Linked DNA regions of Nothobranchius furzeri. The protein of the gene in region 3 binds, or shares a complex with, the protein of the main gene of each other region. Links are inferred from orthologs where the notes say so. Each region holds a gene or a part of one and is shown on either strand. Other genes may lie near its edges. The genes, in order: sumo1, nup93 and ranbp2.

What was found.
Region 1: the proteins of ranbp2 (region 3) and sumo1 are in contact, whole or in part, in a crystal structure (PDB 1Z5S), measured with the Homo sapiens proteins. The link is inferred for Nothobranchius furzeri from reciprocal best matches to the Homo sapiens genes RANBP2 and SUMO1. Residues at the interface, in NP_006258.3 of Homo sapiens: Asp2631, Val2632, Leu2633, Ile2634, Val2635, Tyr2636, Glu2637, Leu2638, Pro2654, Thr2656, Cys2659; in NP_001005781.1 of Homo sapiens: Asp30, Ser31, Ser32, Glu33, Ile34, His35, Phe36, Lys37, Val38, Lys39, Thr41, Thr42, His43, Lys46, Leu47, Ser50, Arg54.
Region 2: ranbp2 (region 3) and nup93 share a complex: the UniProt entries of both Homo sapiens proteins name them as parts of the nuclear pore complex. The link is inferred for Nothobranchius furzeri from reciprocal best matches to the Homo sapiens genes RANBP2 and NUP93.

The regions. Positions count from the first base shown.
Region 1 is NC_091743.1:83,214,657-83,218,321, reverse strand, and holds the start of sumo1 (small ubiquitin-related modifier 1), read right to left. Parts: upstream 2,896-3,665; 5' UTR 2,759-2,895; coding exon 2,747-2,758; intron 2,399-2,746; coding exon 2,324-2,398; intron 1-2,323. UniProt on the Homo sapiens protein: Ubiquitin-like protein that can be covalently attached to proteins as a monomer or a lysine-linked polymer.
Region 2 is NC_091744.1:86,683,402-86,687,051, reverse strand, and holds part of nup93 (nuclear pore complex protein Nup93), read right to left. Parts: intron 3,179-3,650; coding exon 3,104-3,178; intron 2,524-3,103; coding exon 2,431-2,523; intron 1,960-2,430; exon of another isoform or gene 1,192-1,959; coding exon 1,052-1,191; exon of another isoform or gene 951-1,051; coding exon 818-950; exon of another isoform or gene 782-817; intron 637-781; coding exon 479-636; intron 390-478; coding exon 224-389; intron 83-223; coding exon 1-82. UniProt on the Homo sapiens protein: Plays a role in the nuclear pore complex (NPC) assembly and/or maintenance. May anchor nucleoporins, but not NUP153 and TPR, to the NPC. During renal development, regulates podocyte migration and proliferation through SMAD4 signaling.
Region 3 is NC_091747.1:23,225,205-23,228,854, forward strand, and holds part of ranbp2 (E3 SUMO-protein ligase RanBP2), read left to right. Parts: intron 1-241; coding exon 242-373; intron 374-522; coding exon 523-750; intron 751-821; coding exon 822-905; intron 906-1,095; coding exon 1,096-1,234; intron 1,235-1,317; coding exon 1,318-1,412; intron 1,413-1,498; coding exon 1,499-3,650. UniProt on the Homo sapiens protein: E3 SUMO-protein ligase which facilitates SUMO1 and SUMO2 conjugation by UBE2I. Involved in transport factor (Ran-GTP, karyopherin)-mediated protein import via the F-G repeat-containing domain which acts as a docking site for substrates.

The DNA.
Region 1 (3,665 bases), on a different chromosome or scaffold from region 3:
TTAGAAACCTCTAAAATATGTTGAAATTCAAGCATTTAGAAGGATTACAATCACACATATGACGTCTGATGTATACAGGGAAACGTGTTGCATTAAAAAAATCACACACCCTATACGACAAGGCCAAAAGGATTTCTGGATCTTCCACAATGGCTCAAAGAACTTTGGCTCATAATATAAAATAATGTGTTTTCCAAATCTATTTAACTTTAAAAAAAAAAAACAAATGCAGGTTTAGGCAGCATTTCAGTTTTTTAAGGAATAATTGCATTGAATATCCACAACAGTACTTATTTTTACATCTATTTGTGTTTTTTACATCATTTTTAACAAATATCAACATCCAAAGAAAAAATAGTGATACTGTGTACGCACACGTTTGTTTTCTAAATTTTATAACTTAAAGAGCAAGTCACCCCCTACAAGAAACTTACTTCACTCCCTCTTCATGTTTGAAAAATGCAACAAATGCTGTTGCCTGGCAGACCGAGAGGGCGGAGCCACTAACAAATACACACACAGGCTCACAACGGCATTGTGACATCATAAGGACCAGTTTACATCATAGCATACCTCTTAGCCAATAGCGATGGCAGATTTAGATTCTAATGCAGTGCAGGGTTTTTACCTGACAACGGCACAACACTGACAGTTTTAGGCAGAAAATTACAATTTGAACTAAAATGCACTAAAGTACAAAACTATTGACTACACGTGTCTGCAGCGTGATTAGACACACTATATAGTTTATCAGAAAAAAAAAGTTGATTTGGGGGTGACTTGCTCTTTAATAGCAGAATCTCTTCAAAAAATATTTACAGAATATGACAAAATATATTTCTGATTATAATCTCAGGGGGAATGTCTGAATCCTGATTTTAATCTCAGAGTTTTGTCTCTTTTTTTTCTCAGAATTCTGAGGGGAAAAACTGGTTTTTCAGTGGCCCAATTCTCTAAAAGAAAAAGAGACATTCAACAAGTTTTTTGTAGTTCATTGTACCAGTTTTTACTGCCTTAGTTTTAGTCTCCTTACACCTACTTAGTCATTCCTGACTGACCACATTATTTCTCTTCTCAATGTTTCATTGATATTATGGTAATTTTCCAGCTTTAGTCTTCAATGTTTTCTTTTTATGTAACCCTAATGTTCATTTGTGTTTTTGTTTTGTCTCTTTATTTATCTTTGGTGTGTTCTTGCTGTGTTTAGTTTCAGATTCCATCTTTCAGTTCTTTTTAAAACACAGAAAAGGTTTATTTACCTGCAACATTTCGTTTGCGGCTGCAAACATCGTCAGGCTGACGCCGATGGTGGCGTCACTTCCTTCGTTTATCCGCGGGCAGCAGAGGACGTTGTCGCCCTCGTCCTCTGCTGCCTGCTCTCCCCTCTCCGATGATGCAGTCCCATGCGCGATCCAACGAGTAAACTCCATCAACTCTGTTCATGGACCCACATCCATGTCTCCTTATCTCTATAGCGTCTTTTATCCATCTTTTGTTTTTCTGTTGTTTGGTGTTTATGATCCTTGTGTTGTCCCAGTCCATTATGTGGGATAACACAAGGATCATAAACACCAAACAGAAAAACAAAAGATGGATAAAAGAAGCTATCGAGATAAGGATGTGGGACCATGAACAGAGACGATGGAGTTTACTCATTGGCTCGCGCATGGGACTGCATCATCGGAGAGGGGAGAGCGGGCAGCAGAGGGCGACGATGTCTTCTGCTGCCCGCTAAACGAAGGAAGTGACGCCACCATCGGCGTCAGCCTGACGATGTTTGCAGCCGCAAACGAAACTTTGAAGGTAATGAAACCTTTTCTGTGTTGTAAAAAGAAGTGAAAGATGGAAATTGTCTCTTTATTATAAAGCACATTGAGTTGCCTCTGTGGAGGAAATGTGCTATAAAAATAATGCTGTCTTGTCTAATAAAATTACTTTTTACAGAAGGATTCTGCAACAGCTGTAGTTGTAAATAAGTGTTATTTATTGGGGGGGGGGGGGGGGGGGTTAAGGTTGCAGACCCCTGGCCTAGACTAAGGTAAGCTGCATGCTTCTCTAGCAGCATTTGCGTTGTTTTACAAAAAGTCTAATGATGTAAAATAATTTGAGAAAATGCATAAACAGTAAGAATTGCAGCAGTTAATACCAATCTGGACATAACTACAGCCAGTAAATTCAAACTAAATTACAAAATGAATTTAAAACCATTTAAAAAAATGGTTACATGGAGGGCCGTTATATAAAAAGAGTTAGTGAATCAGTAAATAAGCAGGAATAACCAGACTAAAGCCATCTCACTAGCTGTAATGATATTAAAACCTACCTGACCAATCACTTTTAACTTTATATACTCGCCATCCTTCTTATCGCCGCCGTCTTGACTGGATGGTTTTGTCTCCTTAAAAATAAACAAACAACATAAACAGCACAATACAGACACGCACCCACGTTCAAACAGGCCTGAGTGTTCACTTCGAAGGTTTGTTTAACAAAATCGCTCATCTTTTTGAACGACTTGACTATAAAATATAATAACACGCAGTTTCTGTTGGACATTTTAAAAAATAACAGCAAAATTTTTATCTAAAAGGTCAAAAAAGAGCTGTGTTTTGTGTCCCTGAAGCTACGTTAGCTGGCTAGTAGCATGTTAGATAACCAAACGAGCCTAAAAAAACAATCAATTTGTGCGTCTTCTGAACAGTTCCGACAGAAGATTTGTTGTTTTCCACAAACACTGGGGTCTTACCGTGTCTGACATTTTCTTATTTTCTGTGTTTTGGCTCAAATTTCCTGACAATAGATGTACCTTCAGCTTTCCGCTGCAGCTCTCGTTAGATGTTATGGGAATTCGACATTAGCCGGAAGTGACGAAAAGACGTTTTTTCACAATAAAACTCCCTTCAGATTAGAGAAACAATAGTATTTTTTATATTTTTATGCTGTTGTTGCGCTTCTAATGAAAGCAGTGAACAACAAATATTTTTAAATAATATTTAGATAAAATGTTCAAACTATCAGAAGTAGCAATCATTGTCTAAAAGTAATTATAATCATTTGCTCATGTAAATTCAAACAAATTGCAATGAATAAAAAAGTCTAATAATCATTATTACTGCATTTATCTGAAAAATCATACAATGAGGCGCACGTTAATATGTTGATCCCATCGCAAGACACAGTTTTAGTGTTATTGATCTGAAGTGAGCGGTGTGTTTAAAATGTGATCAAATTAATTCCATCTTTTAGTTCTTTTTAAAACACAGAAAGATTTTATTTACCTGCAACGTTTCGTTTGCGGCTGCAAAACCCAGGTAAATAAAACCTTTCTGTGTTTAAAAAAACTAAAAGATGGAATTAGAATTTCAACACAGCAAGAACACACCAAAGATAATCAAACGAATTGTTCTTCTTGCAGCAGAATTTTGCTGTTTGGGAATATAAAGTGGTAAAATTATGCGTTGAATGCACATTTACACATAGTGTTTAATGAAACAATTTAAATTTTATCATAACATGACTGGATTTGACTGCAAATAACTGAACTAAATTGGAATTAATAGGGGTCAAGTTAATCACTACTGAATGAACTTGGACCAGCATGTAATCAATTCAATTCAATTCAAAAATACTTTATTAATCCCAGAGGGAAATTGATTGCTGTAGTA
Region 2 (3,650 bases), on a different chromosome or scaffold from region 3:
GCTGCTTCTGTAACTGTGCCAGAGTGAGTCGGTCCTGAGGAGAGCTGCTGCTGCCGTCATCATCAAAACACACCTGGTTCAACTGCAGAAGGAACACAGGGAGACGAGTGAAGGCTTCAACTAAAAGCCACACAGCGGCGCGGAGCTGCAGCAGGAACCAATCTGAGATGATTTTAGTTTCAAGGTTGATCTTTACACTATTGAGAGTAAAAGTAAAGCGTACCTTAAGCCAGAGGTAGTCTTCTGTTTTATCTGCCACCTCTCCATGGTTATCACTGACGTCACATTTCCCGATGAGGCAGTAGACGGCTCTCTTGTACGGGTCGGCACAGTTCCTCAGCGCTCTGCGGTAGTGAAGACGAAGCTTGTTCTCTGAAGTCGGGGAGAGGCTGAAGGGATTACACACAACTGCGGTTTTACTGGCGATGGCGAGGAAACGCTCGCAGCGACAGAGAGAAATAATCTGAACTGTTCTCACCGTTTGTCGGGGCTGTTCATGTACTCCTGAAACCAGGTCTTAAAGTCTCCCAGCTGGTGGTGCACTTTGCTCACCACCTGCATGGCTGCGTTCAGATCTCCACAGCGCAGGCAGTAGTAGACCACAGCCCACACTGGGTGGCCCTCTATCTCACCATCCTGTTTCAGACACATTTATTACAAATGATCATTTCTTAGAAATGTTCTTAACAAATATTCAGTCCAAAAACGAAACCCTGAAAAGAACACAGCACATCATTGGTTATACAGTTAATTTTGCACGGTTTTGTCTATTTTTACTCAGATTTCCAGTGAGAGATGATGCTAGTTGGAGCCTTACCTGCATGCCAGGAAGGGGCCCCGGCAGCTTGATGTTGAGGAAGCTGCGGACCAGCTGGTATGTTCCAGGCACACCTCCCAGTTGGGCCTGGTGGAGATTCCCAAAGACCGTTCCCATCGTGTGGTGTTTATATCTGCCAGTTCAGCAAAACCTGAATTTCAGCTAAACTCCAGATGAATGAAAACGCATCGCTTGAACTTGAGCGGTCGCTGAAACGGTTCCAAAGCCAGCTACCTGTTCTCCAGGAAGCTGAGCGCCTGACGCACGAAGGCCATCTGCATCTCAACTGAAGTGCGACTCTTGAGGGTGTCTTTGGCTGGAACCAGAAGCACATCTGTCATCTGCTTCACCATAAGCCACAGCTCTGAGACGTTCTGGAGGACAGAGGGGGACACAGCTTCATGAAAAATATTAAAACTGCGACGCCTCAAGCAGACTCTAAGAGCATCATTTATTTAAAGGGCTTCAAACAGCAGGAGAGAACGTTTGTTTGTTAGGGAGACTGAAGTTTTGGCTTGCTATTAGCGCCCCCTGGTGTCCAGTTAATAAAACCAAAAGTGAAACTGTTCTCCTTGCTGTGTGTGCGTTCGTCTTTTTAACACCTGAACCTATCTGCTGAAACGTCTCCTCGGCCTTCATTAGTGTCTACAGGTCAGGAGGAGTGATCACTAACTCAAACAAACCAGCTGTTGTCTAAAACAAGCAGGAATGCTAAACGATCTTTATTCATGTAGCGCCTTTTTAGGGTTCTACAACCCCCCAAAGCGCTTCACCACACCATCAGTCATTCATCCACCCGTTTGCATGCAGGTGATGATGAGCCACGATGTAGCCACAGCTGCCCCGGGGCACACTGACAGAGGCGAGGTCTGCCGAACACAGACGCCACCGGTCCCTCTGGCCACCACCAGCAACCTTCTGATTACTGGACAGCCGCTCTACCTCGTGAGCTGCTGCTGTTCCTGCTGGAAGCAGACTCCAGCGCTGCCATGCCCGCGCCACTTCACCAAGTCCAACAGGGACCAAACCCGCACTCTGAGGGAGGTGGGGTCTGAGTGACATTTCATTAACCCTGTAAAGGGTCATAGGGTCATCTTAGCACATACTGGCTCAAGAAAATGATATTAAAATATGAAAAAGTTGCACAGTGTGGCTTTAATCACTTCATTAATGGTTTATCTCCTCAAACTTGTTATAACTAACCCTCCCGCTGTCTTCATGGGTGACCCCACCAGGAAAGTTGACCATTGAGCAGGATTGGGTCCACGTGGCAGGGGTGAGGAGTGAGCACCACCTCACCCCTGCCACGTGGACCCAATCCTGCTCAATGGTCGACTTTCCTGGTGGGGTCACCCATAAAGACAGCGGGGGGGGGGGGGGGGTTAAGACCATTTATTCATGACAGGAATCTGAATATAAAAATGCTGCAGCATGCCGACTGGTTCACAAATTCATGTACGCCATGGAAATCATTTTTGTGTTAAAGAAGGTGAGAAAACAATGACATCACAAACAAAAACACACATTTCCTGACTTCTGAAAATGGTTCCTGGATGCTAAGGTTTGATGGGGATACAAATCGCCCCCATCGTGACAAAAACCCCGTTTCTTACCTTGTCATCCAGACTTTCTGCCGCTGCAGCTAACAAATCCCCCAGATTAGGCTGAATGTGTCCATTTACAATCTTCTCGTTAAAACAATAGATCTGAATGAGACAAAGCGAGGAACGACTGAAAGTTCTCATCAGGTTCACAGCCAAACGACGGCCCTAAGGCCATCGAGCCAAGTGGTTCACAACAAAAAACAGCAGAAAGAGGATCAAAACATTTAAGAGGTCATCAAAGAGGATAACAAAAATGAGACAAATGACACCGCACGCAATGTGCCGACACATTCTCTCACACACACACACAACACACACACGGTGTCATCCAGCAGATCCAGAAAAAGCATGGAGGGAAAAACAAAAGGTCAGACAGGACGATGAGAGGGAGCGATGAAGAGGTTTCACCCCCTCTACAGCCATATGAATCAATATCTTTGATCTGTCACTTCCTGGCTTGCTTTGACCCTGATTTCAACCAAATGACCGAGCCGACTGCCTCACACACTAAAACTGCTTCCTCAGGACAGAAATGTAAGAGGAAATGTTGTTAGAATGATGTTAATTTAACAAAAGGCACACAACAGCACAACCCGTAAATCTGCAGCTCTCAGACTAAACCTCTGAAGCTGCATTTTAAATTTCAGTGAACATGAAGACAGACAGACTGCTGCTGACTCACCTGCCGTCCATAAGCCACCTCCACACTATCTAGTGCACTCCTCCCTGGAGCTGTCACTTCACTCACGAAGCTCGGCTGTAACACACCAAAAAGCCACAGATGACTTCACAGCTGCGCTTCAGTCCACAGAAGAATAATCGTTCCTCACAGCCACGAGCAGCAGACACACCAACCATCTGCTGCACAACTCGAGTGTGTCTGCAGCACCGACCATTTCTGATGGATGCTTTTTCATTCTGGGGGTTGAGAAACCTGCGTGTCCACATGAGGTCAAACAGTGGGTAAAACCCCAGCACACATGGGTGTTACCCACTGCATGCTGGGATATGCTCCCATAGCACACAAATCCCACTTTACACCAGAGGACGATGTTAAAAATAACCTCCACGATTCTTAGATGAGGATGCTATTTTGGTCAGCTTAGATGTTGACAGTTATGAGTGTCAAAGAAATCGGATTTGAAATGATTTTCTAAGAGATTTTTTCAGCCCGGAAAGTTCAAATACGCTTTAAAATAGCTGCTTTTGGATGAATACCTTAGTAAACC
Region 3 (3,650 bases):
TGGTTAGATGTGTAATTTAACGGTGGGCTCAGAGAAGATGCTGAGTCAGGGTGAGATGCAGACGAGGAGACCGTTCGCGGTTTCTGGTGTCGGTGTGGTCGATGTTTATGTTCAGTAGATGTGCCCGGGTGCACCAGACTGCCGGCCAGGCCGGAGCTGCGAGGGCCGAACGACGCTGCTTGCAGCTTTAATTTAGCTTGTTTTGTTTATTTATTTATTTAATTTAATTTTTGCTTTTCAGATCTACCAGCGACTTTCAGAAGAGGCCACCAATGGTGTGGAGGAGACCCAAGACAGATGCATAACTTTTCTGAGAAAGTTCAGGATGTATTTGTTGAAGATCTACAACGGAAATGCAGATGACATTGATAGGGTTAGTCCCAGATTACTTGACTTGTTTTTTTTTTTTTTTTTTTTTTTTTTTTTTTTTTTTTTTTTTTTGTACATTTTTCTCCACAGTTTTTACTTGTTAGCTGAAAATCAGTAGCCTTAGTGTTTTTTTTTTTTTTGTTTGTATTGCAGCTTCCTGTGTCCATGGAGGAGGTGGTGGACCTCCTAAACGATGTAAACCAGCAGCTCGGCGAGACTGTGGAGGACATAGAGGAAGAGGACAAGAAGGAGATGATGTGTCAAAGAGGACCAGTTCACTCCAGCCCTGCTCATCCCACAGAAACCAGTGCAGCCATCTCACACATCAAGTTTTCATCTCCCTCTCCAAACAAAAGCATTCTTTCTCCCTCCAAACGACTGGTGAGTCCAAATCACTCGTTATATGATAAACCACAAATCTGTGCATTTCTATAATTTATTACATTTTGCAGATTTCACCCAAGACACCACCTCATTGGGTTGAGGACCACAAAAGTCTCCTTCAGATGCTGTGTCAGCAAGTCGAAGCCCTCAAGGTCAGAGTTAGAGAGGAGTTGTTTTAGTTATTCAGATCTCACCGTTCTGTGATGTACAGCAGTAACAGGACTTTTGAACCCATTTCAGATGTGCAACTGGGGAGTGGTTTTCCTTTTATGAAGAGGCTTTTAAACCTAAATGAGATCTAAATAACGGTTTTGTTTTAATCACCACGTCTCTGTTTTGCAGAACGAGGTTCATGATCTGAAACACAACGCCTCAGTGAATGCAGGCTCTCCACATAAGGTCTACAGTGATGGCTACAGGGCAGAAGGCCTGAATGAGCCTTTTACTCCTGTACAGTCCTACCACGGAGCGCCCCTGACAGGTCTGTGTTCTACAGAGCTCTAAATGACTTTCGAATGCACATTTCCATCATTTTATTGATCTGTCTTGTTCCTCCTTTTGAAGTTGCCACCTCGGGATCCTCTCTGTATTACAACCAGTCTCCAGCTTATAACTCTCAGTATCTTTTGCGCACAGCAGCAAATGTGACTCCAACCAAGGTAATTATTGTCTCCAATTGTTGGATTACAAAAATATATTTGCACAAGATGTTAAAAGATTATTTTTTTATGTTTTGTTTACCCAGGGCCCAATGTATGGTGTGAACCGTATGCCCCCACAGCAGCATATGTATGCCTACCAGCAGCCCACTCATACACCTCCCCTCCAGACAGCCCCAACGTGCATCTACCCTCCGCAGGAACAAGTATTTGGTGCCCCTCTCCGGTTTGAATCACCAGCCACAAACCTTCTCTCCCCATATGGTGAAGAATACTATAGCCAAGGTGTGACCCATCAATCCACCAATCCTTCTCTACCTGAACCCGGCTACTTCACCAAGCCATCTGTAGTCCCTGTTCAACCACCAAAGAGTGTTGAGGGGAAGCCTGTGGACTTCGGGAAACTTGCCTTCAACCAAAATGCTCCTGCTGAAGTCCCCAGAGTGCCAAACTTTGGTACGGGAGCAGTTGCCCAGTCAGCACCCTCAACTGCTTTCAAATTCAATTCCAACTTTAAATCTAATGATGGAGATTTCACTTTCTCATCTTCTCAAGCCAAGCACAGTGAAAGTTTGCTTGGTCTCCTCACATCGGACATTCCTACGAAAACGGATGCTGATCCAGAAAAGTCTCCAGCCCAGGAGCAGCCCTCCAGCCAAACAGGAATCTTCACCTTTGGAAATAAAAACGTGGCCGGCTTCTCATTTGTTGATCCTACACAGAAAGCTGGAAGTCTTTTTGGGAAAGCGGAGCAGCCATTTAAGTTTATTGAAGTTACCAAGTCAGTTTTTGTTGCTGCCAAGACAACAGAGCTGGAAAAAGCAATAGAGAGCGACAGTGATAGTGCTCATGCTGAAGAAGATGAGGATGGTCCCCATTTTGAGCCAATTGTTCCTTTGCCTGATAAGGTAGATGTAAAAACAGGTGAAGAAGAGGAAGAGGAAATGTTTTGCAACAGGGCGAAATTGTATCGTTTTGACACGGAGACAAAAGAGTGGAAAGAACGAGGCATAGGCAATGTTAAAATCCTAAAACACAGCACAAAAGGAAAGGTCCGCCTCTTGATGAGAAGAGAGCAAGTTCTTAAGATCTGTGCAAACCACTACATCACTGCTGACATGCTGCTGAAACCAAACGCTGGTTCTGACAAATCCTGGGTGTGGAACGCCATCGATTATGCAGATGAAGAGCCGAAACCGGAACAACTGGCCATTCGCTTCAAAACGGTAGATGAGGCAGCCCTCTTCAAAGCTAAGTTTGAGGAAGCTCAGAAAGTTTTACTCAAACCAGCAGAAAAGAAAACTCAGCAGAAGAAAAAAGAGGGAAATTTAAAAGACTCGCTGGCAGCTCGGTTTGCACTTAAAGAAGGGGATTGGGAGTGTCCTGTGTGCTGTGTGAGAAATAAGCCAACAGATGTGCGGTGTTTGGCGTGCCAACATGCCAATCCACAATCATCATCAAAACCAGAAATGCAGCCTTCTGGGGAAACCAAAGGGACTCAATTTACTTTCAAATTTGGTACTGATGCATCAAATCCCAGCAGCTCAGGTTCCACATTCTCTGGATTTGGTGCTTTTGGAGCTTCTATACCATCCTCTTTTACATTTGGCACCAGCTCCTCAAAGTCTGCCAACACAAAAGCCAGTGCATTTACCTTTGGATTTGGGTCACAATGGGACTGTAAGAAGTGCTCCACAAAGAACGAGGCCTCTGTAGAGAGCTGTATTTCTTGTAAGGCTCCTAAAATTGTAGCTCCAACATCTGTGATGGTCCAAACCACACCTGCTGTTGATGCAGATGTGAAAGACTCTGGTTTTGCACAGTTTAGTAAGGAGTCTGGACAATGGGACTGTAACAAGTGTTCTTCAAAGAATGAGGTCTCTGCAGAGTGCTGCGTTTCTTGTAAGGCTCCTAAAACTGCAGCTCTGCACATGCTGTCACATGCCATCACATCTGTGATGGCGCAAACAACACCTGCTGCAGATGCACCTGCTGCACAGCCCTCTGTGGCTGTCTCAGACTCTGGATTTGCACAGTTTAGTAAGAAGTCTGGACAATGGGACTGTGCTGTGTGTGAAGTGCGAAATGAAGCATCAGCTGACAAATGCGCTGCTTGTCAAAGTCCAAACCCTGCTGCAACATCAGCACTTGGGTCTGATTTTGCTAAGAAAAACGGGCAGTGGCATTGCAATGCCTGTCTGGTCAGAAATGAAGCGTCAGCAACCGAATGTGTTTCTT